Linked DNA regions of Astyanax mexicanus. The protein of the gene in region 1 purifies or fractionates together with the protein of each later gene. This does not show direct contact. Links are inferred from orthologs where the notes say so. Each region holds a gene or a part of one and is shown on either strand. Other genes may lie near its edges.

What was found.
Region 2: the proteins of transmembrane protein 43 (region 1) and bzw2 purify together in Homo sapiens (affinity purification with mass spectrometry; 3 studies listed by BioGRID and IntAct, counting the BioPlex papers as one, with this or other methods). This does not show direct contact. The link is inferred for Astyanax mexicanus from reciprocal best matches to the Homo sapiens genes TMEM43 and BZW2.

What each region holds. Positions count from the first base shown.
Region 1 is NC_064431.1:31,251,179-31,259,037, forward strand, and holds the start of transmembrane protein 43, read right to left. Parts: upstream 3,574-7,859; 5' UTR 3,331-3,573; coding exon 3,319-3,330; intron 1,597-3,318; coding exon 1,447-1,596; intron 637-1,446; coding exon 502-636; intron 374-501; coding exon 279-373; intron 1-278. Other genes in the region: zgc:112334 (rab GDP dissociation inhibitor beta), read left to right, coding at 4,720-4,761, 7,140-7,247, 7,366-7,462, 7,597-7,731. UniProt on the Homo sapiens protein: May have an important role in maintaining nuclear envelope structure by organizing protein complexes at the inner nuclear membrane. Required for retaining emerin at the inner nuclear membrane.
Region 2 is NC_064410.1:44,753,187-44,760,947, forward strand, and holds the start of bzw2 (eIF5-mimic protein 1), read left to right. Parts: upstream 1-4,574; 5' UTR 4,575-4,675; intron 4,676-7,761. UniProt on the Homo sapiens protein: Translation initiation regulator which represses non-AUG initiated translation and repeat-associated non-AUG (RAN) initiated translation by acting as a competitive inhibitor of eukaryotic translation initiation factor 5 (EIF5) function.

The DNA.
Region 1 (7,859 bases):
TGACATCACAATAAGGGAGGAGCATCTAAACGGCTCATTGAAGCAAATGATTCCATACACCTGAGAACTCTTTCAGTTAATTCACAGAAAACAGATGGATGGATTTTTTTTTTTTTTTTTGGTGTTTGGAGTGTTTATAGTGTTTATAGGGGCAGTCGAGACCCATGTGGAAATAAAAAAAAATCTAGCAAAAAGTGAGTTTTATGTAATATGTCTCCTTTAAATGGGTTGGTTTAGGTGTGTCGTAGTCGAGCAAAGCTTTAATCTGTTTTACATACCGTGACTCCTGATACTCCACCCACTGATACATCTCCACATTCCTCTTCAGCTTCACCGCCTGAACCGCCACCTTATAGTTCGGCTCATAGAGAGGCTAAAGAAAGTGAGAGAGTGAGAGAGAGAGAGAGAGAGAGTTTTAAGTTAAAGTAGCAATAAGTGAAACACCACAGTGAAAAGGCCAGTGGTGAACAGGCGTATCTCCTCACTATTATGAGTTGTTACCTGAGAGGTGCGCAGTGGGCTGGACAGGTGAACAAGCCGATTATTGTTTTGGGGGTCCAAGTACATGTCAGGGTGCAGAGAGAGGACCTGAGAGAGACCCTCGTCAAGAGAAGTAGCTGTACGAATGGCCCGGCCCTGTTGGAGGAGGAACAGGGGGTTCTGGGGTAATTTTCTCTTTTATGGGGGTCCTCTGTGATTTTATTCCCATCCAGAACGACCATATATGTGCTTTTTTCAGACGTCCATGTAAACACAACAGCGAGTGGAAATGGAGGAGCTACTGAACGTGAGGTCACATGACCGAGAGCCTAAAACCTCATTGGTCCTCCTGTTTTCCAATTGCAGTCCAGATGCACAAGTTTTATCCCTGAATAGGAGTGTGAGAAACTAAGAAACTAATCCCGTCCGGATAGATTTATTTATTTTTTTTACATTAACAGCTAAAATGTGTTGTTATGTAATAAAGAATATACAAGCCCTGCTAAAATGATTAAAGAATAGATATTTGTTTATAAATTAAAGTTTTTAAATAAAAAACTATAACCTTCCCAGTTTTCAGTATACATCTTTTTATTAACATGAGCTGGCATAGGGGCTTTTATTATGAAGCCCAAAATGGCAGAGTAGCTTAACTGCTAAGTGTTTTACAAACTGAATTAATGGCTGATGTTTGATAACAGATAGAAAGATCTGTGCTGGTTAGATTAGTAGGTTCTGTGGATGATGTTTGAACATTACTCTGGTCTTTAGTTATGACAGTCAGAACACCTCCAGGAATTTATCATCTTAATGCAGCCCTCAGGAGGGTTCTGATACATATTCAAATGTGTTTAAAATTATTTCACCATTATTAAAAAAATTATATGTACAAGTTCTCATTTTCACTCTTCTAAACTGATTAATGAATTAATTCTGTGTAAATGAAGGTAAGATTTGGTCTCTGACCTCATTAGTAAACAGCACGTAGAAGGAGAAGATGAACAGGCAGACTCCCACCAGCATCCCCCCCATGGTTTCCCCCAGACGCTCCAGAAAGCCAGGGTTGGGTCGGGTGTGTACACGGGAGTGCTGATCCCGACCCTCTACTCCTGCAAACTAACACACACACACACACACACACACAAACATTAGTCACTGCAGTCACTGCATCCAGAATTGGTGCATTAATACAAGGACAATACAGCAGTGTGTTGTGAATCACATGTGTACACAATACACAATAAACAAAGCATCTTACAAATGTGTTTTTTCTCCCAAAGTCATTTCCCCAAGCACAAGATATCTAAAAAAACAGGATTGAACCCAGAAGGAAATGACAAAATTGAGTGGTGCTGTTTCTCTCTGTAACAATGCCACTTTTGAAGCTCCGCAGTTGACTAACATGGCAAAACACCAAGCAAAATGTGTATTGTTCCTGGGATGATGGCATGATGTTAGCCTGGAGCCCTAATTAGGCAGGTCTTGTAGAGTATGGTATGCAGTGGATAGTACCAATCAGATGTGCTCCAAAAGTGCTATTCTTCATACATAATATAAATGTACCAGGCCTGGTCCTGTACGTGTACACACTTTCAGTGTTTTGCTTTATTGCTTAATTTATATTTCCTACATTTTCTTCTTTGCTATTTATAGATATATGTTTAAGTAAAATAAACATTGTTGTTTTATTCTATAAACTACAGACAACTTTTCTCGAAAATTTTTAATAATAATATTGTCATTTAGAGCATTTATTTGCAGAAAATGGGAAACAGCTGAAATGCAAAGAAAACACGTTTACAATTATAAAATTTTAAGAGTTCAGAAATCAATATTTGGTGGAATAACCCTGGTGGTTTTTAATCACAGTTTCCATGCATCTTGGCATCATGTTCTCCTCCACCAGTCTTACACACTGCTTTTGGATAACTTTATGCTGCTTTACTCCTGGTGCAAAAATTTAAGCAGTTCAGTTTGGTGGTTTGATGGCTTGTGATCATCCATCTTCCTCTTGATTATATTCCAGAGGTTTTAAATTTTGTAAAATTAAAGAAACTCGTCATTTTTAGGTGGTCTCTTATTTTTTTTTCCAAAGTGTATAGTGCAGTACAGTTTATTGCAGTACAGTATAGTACAGTACAGTATAGTGGTAGTATAATATAGTAGTATAGTATAAGTATAGTAGTAGTATATTATAGTATAGCAGTAGTATAGTATAGTAGTAGTAGTATAGTATAGTAGTATAGTATAGTAGTAGTATAGTATAGCAGTAGTATAGTAGTAGTATAGTATAGTAGTATAGTATAGTAGTAGTATAGTATAAGTATAGTAGTATAGTATAGCAGTAGTATAGTAGTAGTATAGTATAGTAGTATAGTATAGTAGTAGTATAGTATAAGTATAGTAGTATAGTATAGCAGTAGTATAGTATAGTAGTAGTATAGTATAAGTATAGTAGTATAGTATAGCAGTAGTATAGTATAGTAGTAGTATAGTATAGCAGTAGTATAGTATAGCAGTAGTATAGTATAGTAGTAGTATAGTTTAGCAGTAGTATAGTATAGCAGTAGTATAGTATAGTATAGTAGTAGTATATTATAGCAGTAGTATAGTATAGTATAGTAGTAGTATATTATAGCAGTAGTATAGTATAGTATAGTATAGTAGTAGTATATTATAGCAGTAGTATAGTATAGTATAGTAGTAGTATATTATAGCAGTAGTATAGTATAGCAGTAGTATAGTATAGTATAGCTGTAGTATAGTATAGCAGTAGTATAGTATAGTATAGTATAGTATAGTACAGTACAGTAGTTATAATGGTAATCAGTGACTTACTGGGACGGACATGGTGTTTTGGGGAGGAACACCCAGAGCCTGAAGTCTGATGGAGGAAGAGGAACTTCAGAGCAGAAAGTCAGATCTCAGCTTCTGATCCTCCACAGGTCCGATTACTCTTCATATAAACCGGTTTAAATCAGATTAAATCCGGATTCTGCAGCTGTAAGCGCGCTGTTTCTGTGAAAGTGGAATAAACTCAGACCGGCTGTGTTTTCGACGCGTTGAATGAACGAAAGTCGCTTGGCTGAGCACTAAGCCTGCTGGGAAATGTAGTTTTACAGCACCGTGAAAGCATTTACTCTGTAGGTGGAAGTGTAGATACTCTTTAAGTAAAAATGTACAAATTCTTGTTTTAAAAATACTTAAAGTATAAAAATAAAAGTAATTTTAAACATGTACAGTGGCGTACACATTTCTTTTGTTTTTGCTTTTTTATTTTAATATCAGACAACTTTAATACTAGACAAGTATAGGATGAGTAAATATAAAAAGTTATTTTTAAACGAAATTCTTATTTATTAACCCTTTTAGACCTGACTTGTTTTCTAGTGATAAAAATAATATATAAAAATGCTATTTTTCTAACTGTAATGCACTCAAAAACACATGAATTAATATTGTATTTTGGCTGTTTATTGCAGTGGAGTCATTTTTTAAAAGTTAGTTATATTTCATATAACTCATCACCACTTATTTTTTATTCTATATATATATTAACCCTGACCTTAACTGAGGCGAGTGAGACCTGCAGTTCTTTAAATGTTGTTCTGGGTTTTTTGGGACCTCTTGGATGAGTTGTTCATGCCCTTTTGGAGTAATTTTGGTCGGCCTGTCACTCCTGGGAAGGTTCACCAGTGTTCCATATTTTCTCAATTAGTGAATAATTGCTCCTTTTCCAGACTGATAAATGATCAATAACCTTTTTTTTCATCTGTTTTTGAATTTTTTGAGATTTGGGCATAATATGATGCTTTTTGAGATCTTTTATCTGCTACATGTTGTCAGACAGGTTTTATTTAAGTGTTGACAGTTCTTGATTCTTCAGGTCTGACAGTATAATAATCAGAAAAATGTAAGTATGACAAAAAATCCAAATACAAAAGAAATCTTTAAGGGGGTAAATACTTTTTCACGCCACTATATATTTAGTATCTGTACATTTAGTATCTGTCACAGGTCAGCTGCTCCAGAATCATTATAAATGACCACATCAGTTCACTGAGGGCTCCTCTATCTATCTCTCACTGGACTCTGAGAGGATTATGTCTTAAAGGATCATGTAATATTACGCGTCTGAAGCTGAAGAAGGTGACGTAGGTATAAACTCACACATTCACACAGTCAGACCAGCTGTACCATCAGTTCCGTCCATCAGAAACCCAGAGCCGGGGATACAGGATGGCAGAGTTTGACGTTGTTGTGGTGGGAACTGGGCTGAAGGTAAGACTGATCCTCCTGATGGTCTACTGAATGTTTTATAGACTGATCAGCTCACATATAGTAGGCCACATAGGGTTAAAAAAATTACCTCTTAACTTCTAACATATTAATAATTTCAACAATATGTTCAACATATTAATATCATATTTTATTTTACACTTTTTAAAACCTCCACCTGCTGTTGAAATCAACCAATAAAAATGCTCTGCATAATGTTATGTTAACATGATTTCAAAATTTAAAGCATTTGTATTGGGCCACCTTCCGCTTACAGTAGTTTAGATCCACCCACTGATGCTGAAGTTATAAAGAGTGTTTTAGCTCTAAATTTGATTACATTATTCAAACATATACTGAAAATAATCTTATTTATTAATTAGTATGATGATTATAGATTTTAGATTAAAGTATTTAGTTCTAACATAATAATATAAATAATAATATAATAATTATTTACCACAACAGTGTAGAAATGAAGAGAGCACTTTATGCAGTGCATATAATTTTACATACAGTTGTTATCTTCCCTATATATTTTCATTTTACATGGTTTTATAGGCTATAATTATAAGTGTATTAGTGTAGTTCAGCCATATACAGTCATTTGCTAAGGGATAAATAAGGCACAAGCTTTAGAAAGATAACAAATTTATTTATTTAGACATTGATTAAAATTAAAATTAAATGTGCAAATAAATGAAAATTGTAGTAAATCAATAAAACACATAATTACAACACACCTCTGCATAAGCCTGTGAAACTTAATTCTGCGTTATTTTATAAAATAATAAATAAATATATTACCATGCAGTAGACAGTAAATGAAAGCGTCTTATTAAAGTTGGCGCAGGTTATAATGAAGCAGTAGTGCTGAGCGGTTTGTGGGATTAGCTCTAATCCTCTACACTCACCGCAGCAGACAAGATGCTGGGAATAATGAGCTGCTGTTTAGAGCTATTTAATATATATTCATTATTCATTTATTATACTGGAAGCTGTGTACATTAAACTTGTATACAATAAAGTTATTTTTTATTTAAATAAACAAACCCTTAAGACTGGTTTAAAACTCAGAGAGCTAAAACTTAAGAACTGAAGCTAATAATGCATGAATTAGCCTAATGTGGACATAATTCCACTGGGTTGCTTCCTTTCACCCTAAACTAAGATTGGACATTTATCACGTCATCACAGCTTGTATAAAAGCTATACATTTATTGACTTTTATTTACAGTATATAAGGAAGACCTACACTTAATAAAGAAGACAATAGACATTTGTTGAGTTTTACAAACTGTCTTTCTAAGCTTAATATGCTTTCCTACTCATTATACATCACCAATTACACAATTTTGGGTGCTTTTAGACATTTTCCAATGTTGTAAACTGTTACACAGCTATCACCAGGCCAACATAGGCCAAGCGTCAAACATCGGTTGGTACCCAACTTCAGGCCAACGTAGACCCGACATCAAACAATGGTTGGTATCCAACTTCAGGCCAATGTAGGCTCAAAGTCAAACATCAATGCCAATCAGGACCATGTAGGCCCAATGACAAACCTCATCGCTACCCAAATTCATTCCAACATAGGATCAAAATCAAACATTGTTCGTTACCCAACTTCAGGCCAACATAGGCCCAACGTCAAACATTGGTTGTTACCCAAATTCATACCAACAAAGACTTAAAATCAAACATCGGTTGGCACCCAACTTCAGGCCAATGTAGGCCCAATGACAAACATCGGTTGTTACCCAAATTCATACCAACAAAGACTTAAAATCAAACATCGGTTGGCACCCAACTTCAGGCCAATGTAGGCCCAAAGTCAAACATCGGTTGGCACCCAACTTCAGGCCGATGTAGACCCACCATCAAACATCAGTTGGCACCCAACATCAGGCAAATGTAAACCCAAGGTCAAACACTGGTTGGCACCCAACATCAGGCCAACGTAGGCCCAATGGTAAACTTCGGTTGGTGCCCAACATCAGGCCAACGTAGGCCAAATGTTAAACATTGGTTGTGCCCAACATCAGGCCGATGTAGACCCAACATCAAACATCGGTTGGCACCCAAATTCAGGCCAATGTAGGCTTAATGTCAAACATTGTTCGTTACCCAACTTCAGACCAATGTAGGCCCAATGTCAAACAATGTAGGGCCACCGACAAAAAAATATGTTCTTTTAACATGATCTGCCAATGTCATGCCAATGTAACTTGCTATCTGGGTTAGTTTTGCAACATTAAGGCCATCCACACAATTTTTGAAATAGAAAACTGTAGAGTTTTATTGATTTATTTAAAATTTGTCAGTGTCAGATCTCTGGTATAGAGCTTTTAAGGCACTTTTTGACCATGTTTCCTCTACAGGAGTGCATCCTCTCAGGCCTTCTGTCTATCTGTGGGAAAAAGGTTCTTCACATTGACCAGAATCCACATTATGGAGGAGAATGCGCATCTTTATCACCCCTGGAAGAGGTCTGTACACACACACACACAATATTCTAATGTCATTGCCAGTATTAGCATTAGCTTACAATATCAGAATATATTTACAAAATGTGTTATGTTTACTTTATTCATGTTTGTTAAACAGGTGTATAAGAGGTTTCATGTGCCGGGGCCTCCTAAAGGAATGGGGCAGGGCAAAGAATGGACCATCGATCTAGTTCCTAAATTTATGATGTCCAACGGTGAGTAAAATCTGTAAAAACTGTAAAAACTGACTAGCAGCAGTTTCATGCTCCTAAAATCCTTTTTAAGACAAATAACTTTGAATGTGTTTTTGATTGTTTATGGAATGAAGTCATGCTGTAACGTGTTACAGGGCAGATGGTGAAGATGCTGCTGTATACGGAGGTGACGCGCTATATGGATTTTAAGGTGGTGGAGGGCAGCTTTGTGTACCAAGCTGGAAAAATTCACAAGGTTCCAGTTACAGAGGCGGACGCACAAGCTTCAGGTAAGACTGATAAATTGGGCTGTATTTCAAATGTATTGGCATTTATTAAGAATAACAAAATAAATTCTAAATCACAATCTTGAAAACCAAATTCATAAAATTAAATAACATAACAGTTGCTAAGATCA
Region 2 (7,761 bases), on another chromosome or scaffold:
TTGATTTAGAGGACACTTTTTTCTCATGGGAATGGCAGCCGATAGAGAACTCTTTTTTTGCCAGAGGGCAATCTACTGACGATTTTTTTGCCCTTGGATCTGCCAGTGATTCACACTTAGCAACCAAATAATGCATGGTGTAAGTGTTAGAATACAATAAGAGGAGAAATACATAAGTAAAGAGATGAAAAGGAAATAAAATCTATCATATTAAACTAGTTCAGATAAGGGGGAGAGAACCATGTTGACCCATCTAGCAAGTTTCCAGCAACAAGCCACATATCACATTACGCATTCCCTTGACTCAGCCAAAGAAGAGACGCAGACTGAGGAGGAGTTGAGAGTCACTGTGAGAAGCTTAGCCATCAGAAAGCAGCGAGTGAGACATCTGAGATATCTCACATGCCATGTTCCATGAAGTACATTCTGTGGCTACCAAAGCTGCTCTGCAGATTAAATTACACCTATAAACACTTGCTTTGTGAGAGTCTTTATAATAAATTATTACATAAATTATATACAGCCAATCCAAGTGTGCAGTTATTCTGTTTAACTGTCTATATGGCGTGGGCAAGACCCCATTTACACCTTTACAACTTCTTTCATTTTCAGGAATATCAGATTTATACTTGGATGAAGCCTGGCCACGTAAAATACAAAAGGTACTACATAAATTTAGTGCAGTTAAGTAGATTGGCATTAGGCTGTTCAAGTAGGTACAGTATATGCTACAAACTCTATAGTAAAAAGTGTTAGTTTTTGCATAATAATGTTTAACAAAGGGATACTCAAAGTACTGTGCACATGTGCTGTATTGCAGGGAGAGGACACACCATTCTGTCTATCCTATAATATATATTTAGTCAATCATGAATGTAGCACAGGTTTTGGCTGCTGCAAGCTGATGCCACAGCCTAGTCATGTGCCCATCACTGGAATTCTTGGGGATCAGTGTTATAAATGCTAAGATCTCTGGAGGCATCTCTTCCAAACAATATTCTATTATATTACATTTCAAATACACATTAGCATTAGCTTAGTTAGCAGATTAATATTGCTTTCTAAGTCAAGTTCCTGGTAACACTCTGAAGTTAAAACAGGTTTTGTAGCAGCAATGTATAATATAGTTAGTATACATAGTTATTCACAAATATGAGCAAAACCATTTTAAATTTACAGTCCAGCTTAAAAATAAACTCTTCATTTTAATGAAATATTAGCCTGAATACTGAAATGAGTGTAGTACTATTAGGAAACCTCTGCTAATATATTTTGAGACTGTCAACAGACATGTATGATTGCATGTGAGTTTTAAGTTCATTGTAGTCCACATAATTGACACTACTTTCCTGTTCACGATAATAGGGGTGGGCAGTATGGGCAATATTTTATTATATTGCGAAAACTTTGTTACACAAAATGCTTTTCTGAAATGATTGGCTCAATTTGATCGGATACTGTCAGTGCTTAAAGAACTAGCATTTTTATAACAACCTGTAATCAGATCTGTCATGCCTTTTTTTCTATTGTCATGTGTATCATGATAAATATTGTATATCTTGAAAATGTTTTATATATATATATATGTATATATATATATGTATATATATATACATATATATATATATATATATTTCTAGCAAAAGGCCCACATATAAATTACAGACTGATGTACCATAAAAGTTACATTTACGTACCTTGCTAAGTCAGTTTGAATAAGAATGTAAATGTGAGCCAGGCAATCATGAGAATCAGTACATATATTGCACCATGCTGCTACTTATAAATGTAGTTTGCATTTGAGGAAATCAAGATATTTTGAAAAAAAAAAAAAAAAAAACTCAGTGGTGATGAGACCATACATTTATGAATCCATGTACCAGGCCACAAAGAATACAGATAAGTCAGTAGTTACTTTAAAGTAGTTTATCCAGATGTGAAGTCTGATTAATCAATGCTGCACCAGATTTGATATAAAATTGCTGTCCACAGAAAGGTATTTCTCTACAACACACACGTCAGTTGTGTGACTCATAATCTGAGCTGCTTCTTGGCCAGAGCTGAATGTCTGCGTTGGTGGCGCACCGTACAAGCAGCACAACTGATTCTGACAGGCAGGGGGGCTGTTTGTGATTTTCTGTTTTTAGACATTCTGCTTCCTGACAAAAGAGTCTGAAGAAGCGTGTACTGTAGTCTACATTTAGTAGTGCCTCTGCATTACAGAAACCCATTTGAGATGTGTCTGTCTCTCAGGAGTCTTCACTATATGCCTGCCTGACAATAGAGAACACATACTGTCACCTCAGACCATATTAGTACTGCTTACTTAGCAATTATATAGTGTACACAAAACAAAACTGTATTGTTTATTTATTGTTTGTTTTAAGTGTTGCCAGGGTACATAAAAATGCTTCTACAACTCCTGCATAACCTTACTGATAATGTTTGGGTCTCCTATACAGTTGCAATCTGAATCTAAAAAATATGATTTGTCTTGTTTAGTTTAGCTTTTGGTCATTTATGTTCCCACTAAAATAAAGGCTGTAGATCCAGAGGTTTACAGGCATAGGGAATTGTAGTAAACTGAGATGTTAGTGTTGTCCTGCCACTTGGATGTTTTAAATGATTTTCACACACTGAAGCAGATTAATGCCAGTTTTTCAGGGTGCTTGTGTCTGTATTAGCTTCTCTCCTTCTAGTTATATAACAATGCTATTGTAGTCAGATTTGTTAAAGCAATTAGCCACACTATAACATTCACATTTTCTGCACTTCATAAATTCAAACAGAACTAAATCCATCTCTTCACCATTTTCCAGGTAAATGACATTGATGGAAGTGACCCTAAAACTCTTCAAAAACCCACTTCAGACCAGCTACCCACAGACCAGCTACTGATTCTTTACTATTTGCTTAACCATTACTATGTTGAAGTTTACATGGATTCTAGCAATCTGATATTATAATTACCTACATGAACCATTATCATTACTTTTACTTAGGCAGGTTGCCAGGTTGAGTACACTGAGCCTACATAAAAGAGCGCAGGCCGAGTTCAATAACTTTTTTGCAATGGCAAGCAATGATGAATCATAACTAAGTACAGTAAGTTAATCAGATGCTTTATACATTTGCAATGTTTTTATTGTGAGCATATTATAATCCAACTTGTGTGGATTTTATATAATTATGTCAACTATTAGCCATCTTGTAGCACCCCTGGCAGCAATAACCACAGATATGTATGTTCTTTTAAAAACAAACCCCACAGAAAATATATACACTTTGGAGTTGAAGTTACTTGAGTTTACAGATCTTGATAGCATACATAGCTCAGTACTTACCATTTAAGTAGAGTGTTTTTTTTGGTTGCATAGCATATAATAATGCTGTTCACTCGCTGGCTTCCATGGCTGCAGCACACTTTGTTTGCCTGCCAATGTGTTTCGTACCTGGCAACCCGGGGTATGGAAAGAGGACTGGGGAATGGGCAGTGGCTGGTATCAGAGTCTAAAACACATACAAATTTAAATTAGAAAACATACTGGCTGAAGCACTGCTGTCAAGAGTAGGAGTGTGCCATAAGGTATTGTAGGCAATAGTATCGCCAAATCTTTTGAATGTCCTTATAGCTAAAGTGCACTGTAACATTGTTCTATTATTTTAGGACCATAAGGGCTGTCAGGGTCCAACTTTTTTGCTGTTAGTTACAAAAGGATGAGATGAGATGCGACCTTTTTTTGTGTCATTTTGTTTTTGGCTAAGCAGTGTATCTCTTCAGTATCATTTATTTTACTTCATTTCTGCACATATGGAGTGTATTAATAGTATCAATTAAAATTAAATATTAAATATTATTGTTGCAATTATTATTTTTTTAATTCAATGTTTTGTCATATCGCCAAGAAAATCGTTTTTGCAAAAATACCATGAAATATTCTGATATAATTTTAAATTATAAAAAAAATAATAAAATATATATTAAAATAGTTCTCAATAAAGACATAAATGATCATAATTGTTTTTATTCGTTTTAGGCACATTATATTTGTCAATACTCTTGACTTGAATGAGGATCATATCACATTTTATGACAAATGTATGCAGAAAACCATGAAATTACCAAATACTTGCCACTGTATTCAGAACCGCAGCAACCTGTAGAATCTCTCTTTCAGCAGCTGCTCGAGCCCACATTTGTATTAGAAACTAATTATTGTTTTTAATTGCAAACAAGAGAGAACTTTGTCTTTTCCCTCATTACAAACTCGCTGGTTCATTTGGGATGCAGTGCTAATTAGTACACAAACACTCAGAGCCCCTGAGTTTAAATCACAGTAGTCATGGTAGAAAAGCCAGAGTGTGGATTATACCATTCACTCGCTCGCGTGGGGGAGACCAGCTCAAATAAACACGAGGAAATGTGACTTTAAACATTTATTTTTTTTCGTTAAAGATTAATAATTTACCTACAGTGGATGTCCATGTTCAATATTAAAGCGTGGTTCTTTTCTGGAGGCTCCAGCTGTGTGTTAAACTGTGTTAAACTCGCTGTAACTTCGGTATATTATGGGCTGTGCTGGGTCTGCATGTCAGTTGCCTCCTGAAGTTGAAGCAGTGCGCGCGCTCCTCATCACCGGAGACCAGAACCATTCACCAGCCCAGACCCCGCCAGGTAATCATTCAATCACATATTAATAACTAACGCTAGTGTGTTCGCGTGCCGGTGTTCTGCCTGTGTTATGCTACCTTGTCAAACCGTGCTGCCCTAGTAGTATATTTAACTTTAAAAATACCAAAAAGAGCATGTTTTCTGTGGAAGTCTTAGTATGTAAATCTTTTGAGAGCATATAGTCTAGATGGAAACAGGGGTCCACGAGCACATAGTGGATTTTTTTTCGCCACCTGTTTTTTCTTAATCTTTAAAGTGTCTATTTTAAGATTCTGACAGGTAACAGGATGAAATAATGTCCCATGACATTTATTTTTAACCCTTTAATGCATCTATGCTAATTCCCAACCGGAAAAAAAATATGAAGAAAATGGCATAGCTCCTTGAGTTAACAACCTATACAGACAAATGAGCACACTTTTCCATACAATTCTGGGCCAAGGAATGTAACGGAATGGTTATTTTTAATTTTTTTCCACATTTTGACTTGATTTTGAGACAAAAATATAAAAAAATAGCAAAAAATTTAAATTTGCCTGTATGTTTTCACATTACACTAAAATCATGTGCATTAAATAAAAACATCTTGGGGTTTTTCTTAATCCTTGAAGTGTCTACTTTAAGATTCTGACAGGTAACAGGACAAAAATGTCCTGTGGGGCTTATTTTTAACCCTTTACTACACCTATCCCAAATCCGAACCTAAAAAAATATGTAGAAATTGGCATAGCTCCTTCAGTTAAAACCTATACAGTCAAATGAGCACACTTTTCCATACAATTCTGGGCCAATGAATTCCATAGAATGATTATTTTGAAGTTTTTTACACGTTTTGCCAAAAAAAAAAAAAATAGCAGAAAATGTTATGGTTGCCTGTATGTTTTTTACATTATACATTATATTCACGTTATTAAAAGTCTACTTTTAGATCCTGACAGGTACCAGGATGAATAATGTAATAAGCTGCAGAACTAATTGATGATAAAATCCAACAATGTACTAAAAATAAAGTATTAGTATAGTGTTGTACTAATAATTTTAATCATCATTATCACCATTGAAGAGATCATCAAAGTCTATCTTTTAAATCTCTGTCCCTTCCTCCTGATCATCTGTCCCCTCTCCAATCAATTCTGTCTCTTCTGCTCTTGCAAAAATGTCAAGAGAAAGAGGGAAGATGGGGCAAACTGACCAGACCGGCTCCAACACCCCCTCTTCCATTGTCTTCTCCCAACCCATACCCTGACCGTAAGGGTTTGGCCTTTCAGATTTTGGCTGATCTGTCCTTTTTTAGTAGGAAACCCTGTAGTTTACTCTGTCTACTTTAAAACTTGCATCCAGGGCTCACCCCATCATCTTTTGCAGCATCTTGGTTCTCACAGCATCAATGGAGGTCAGTTGGCCAATGGACATACATAACATTATCTCCTGTTGGAACTCATTGCTGCCCTGCCACAATGTACCAAGCTGCAGCTTCTTAAAAGAACACTGGTCCAGCATAGTATCCCAGAAAAGTGCTCCATTATTTAGATCCTAGAGCTCCAGCTAGCTCAGAGACATTCACTAGTTTACTATGCAAGCCAGTTCCGGGGTCAAGAAACATGGTAAGGTTAACACTGCTGACATGGTAAAGGAGGTTCAGTAATATGTCAGTGTTCGGGTTCCTCATCACACTGGACTTGTACCCCCACTTTACAGCTTGGTGGAGGTACAGGACAACACGGGTGTCTGTCTCCTCCTGGTTTGACTGCAGGGCGTGGATCTCTGAAGCCTGAACCCTTAAAAAAATGTACAATTTTTAACACATACCTGTATATTGAAGACTCCATTCAAATGTTTTTATAACATTGGATATGTGATGACAGCTAATGTTAAGCCCCACAGGACATTTTTTGTCCTGTTACTTGTCATAATCTTAAAGTTTAAGAAAAAACCCTAGATGTTTTTATTTAATGCACATGATTTTAGTGTAATGTGAAAACATACAGGCAAATTTAAATTTTTTGCTATTTTTTATATTTTTGTCCCAAAATCAAGTCAAAATGTGGAAAAAACTTAAAAATAACCATTCCGTTAAATTCCTTGGCCCAGAATTGTATGGAAAAGTGTGCTCATTTGTCTGTATAGGTTGTTAACTCAAGGAGCTATGCCATTTTCTTCATATTTTTTTCCGGTTGGGAATTAGCATAGATGCATTAAAGGGTTAAAAATAAATGTCATGGGACATTATTTCATCCTGTTACCTGTCAGAATCTTAAAATAGACACTTTAAAGATTAAGAAAAAACAGGTGGCGAAAAAAAATCCACTATGTGATCGTGGACCCCTGTTTCCATCTAGACTAATAAGTATCTGTATCATTGTACAGTTTGTTTAGTTGTAGCAATGAGAGGCCATTACAAATTACTGTATTTTTTAAACAAATTATTGTATTATCGTTAATAATTTTCATTTGCACTTTTGTGCAATGACAGTGAGTCCATGTTGTTTAATGCACAAAAAAAACAGAAAAAAAGATTTATTATATAAAACACGAGAAATAATTAGAAACTGTAGGTCAGCGCATGCGCAGTTCCTTTAGGAAGCACCTATGGATGCGTAGCATAACTCGACGGAACACCGCATGCATGTTTTAGCCACACGTGCTGTATATAGTTATACTACACGGGATTTTGCAAATCTCACAGTTTGAATGGGGAAAGTAGGATCACTTAAAATAAAAAAAATAAAAATGTATATATATAAATATATGTGGCCACGGCTTTTTTAAGGTGTGGGAATAAGATTCTAAGGCGTGGACACAACTTATTAAGGCGTGGGAACGAGATAATTAAGGGTGTGAACAAGATAATTAAGTCGTGGTCACAACTTTTTATGGTGTGGGAAAGAGATAATTCATAGCCAGAGAATAATAAAGCTTGCTTTTCTGTAAATTTTTGCCCATAAAGAAGATACTGAATATCACATCAAAGCTCCAATTCAAGGATACTATTTTGTATATATGAAAATGGAGAGTGAATTGGATTATATTTATTTTTATCTTGGAATAAATTATGGCAATATTTTGGAGTTTCTTGCAGTAAGACATGA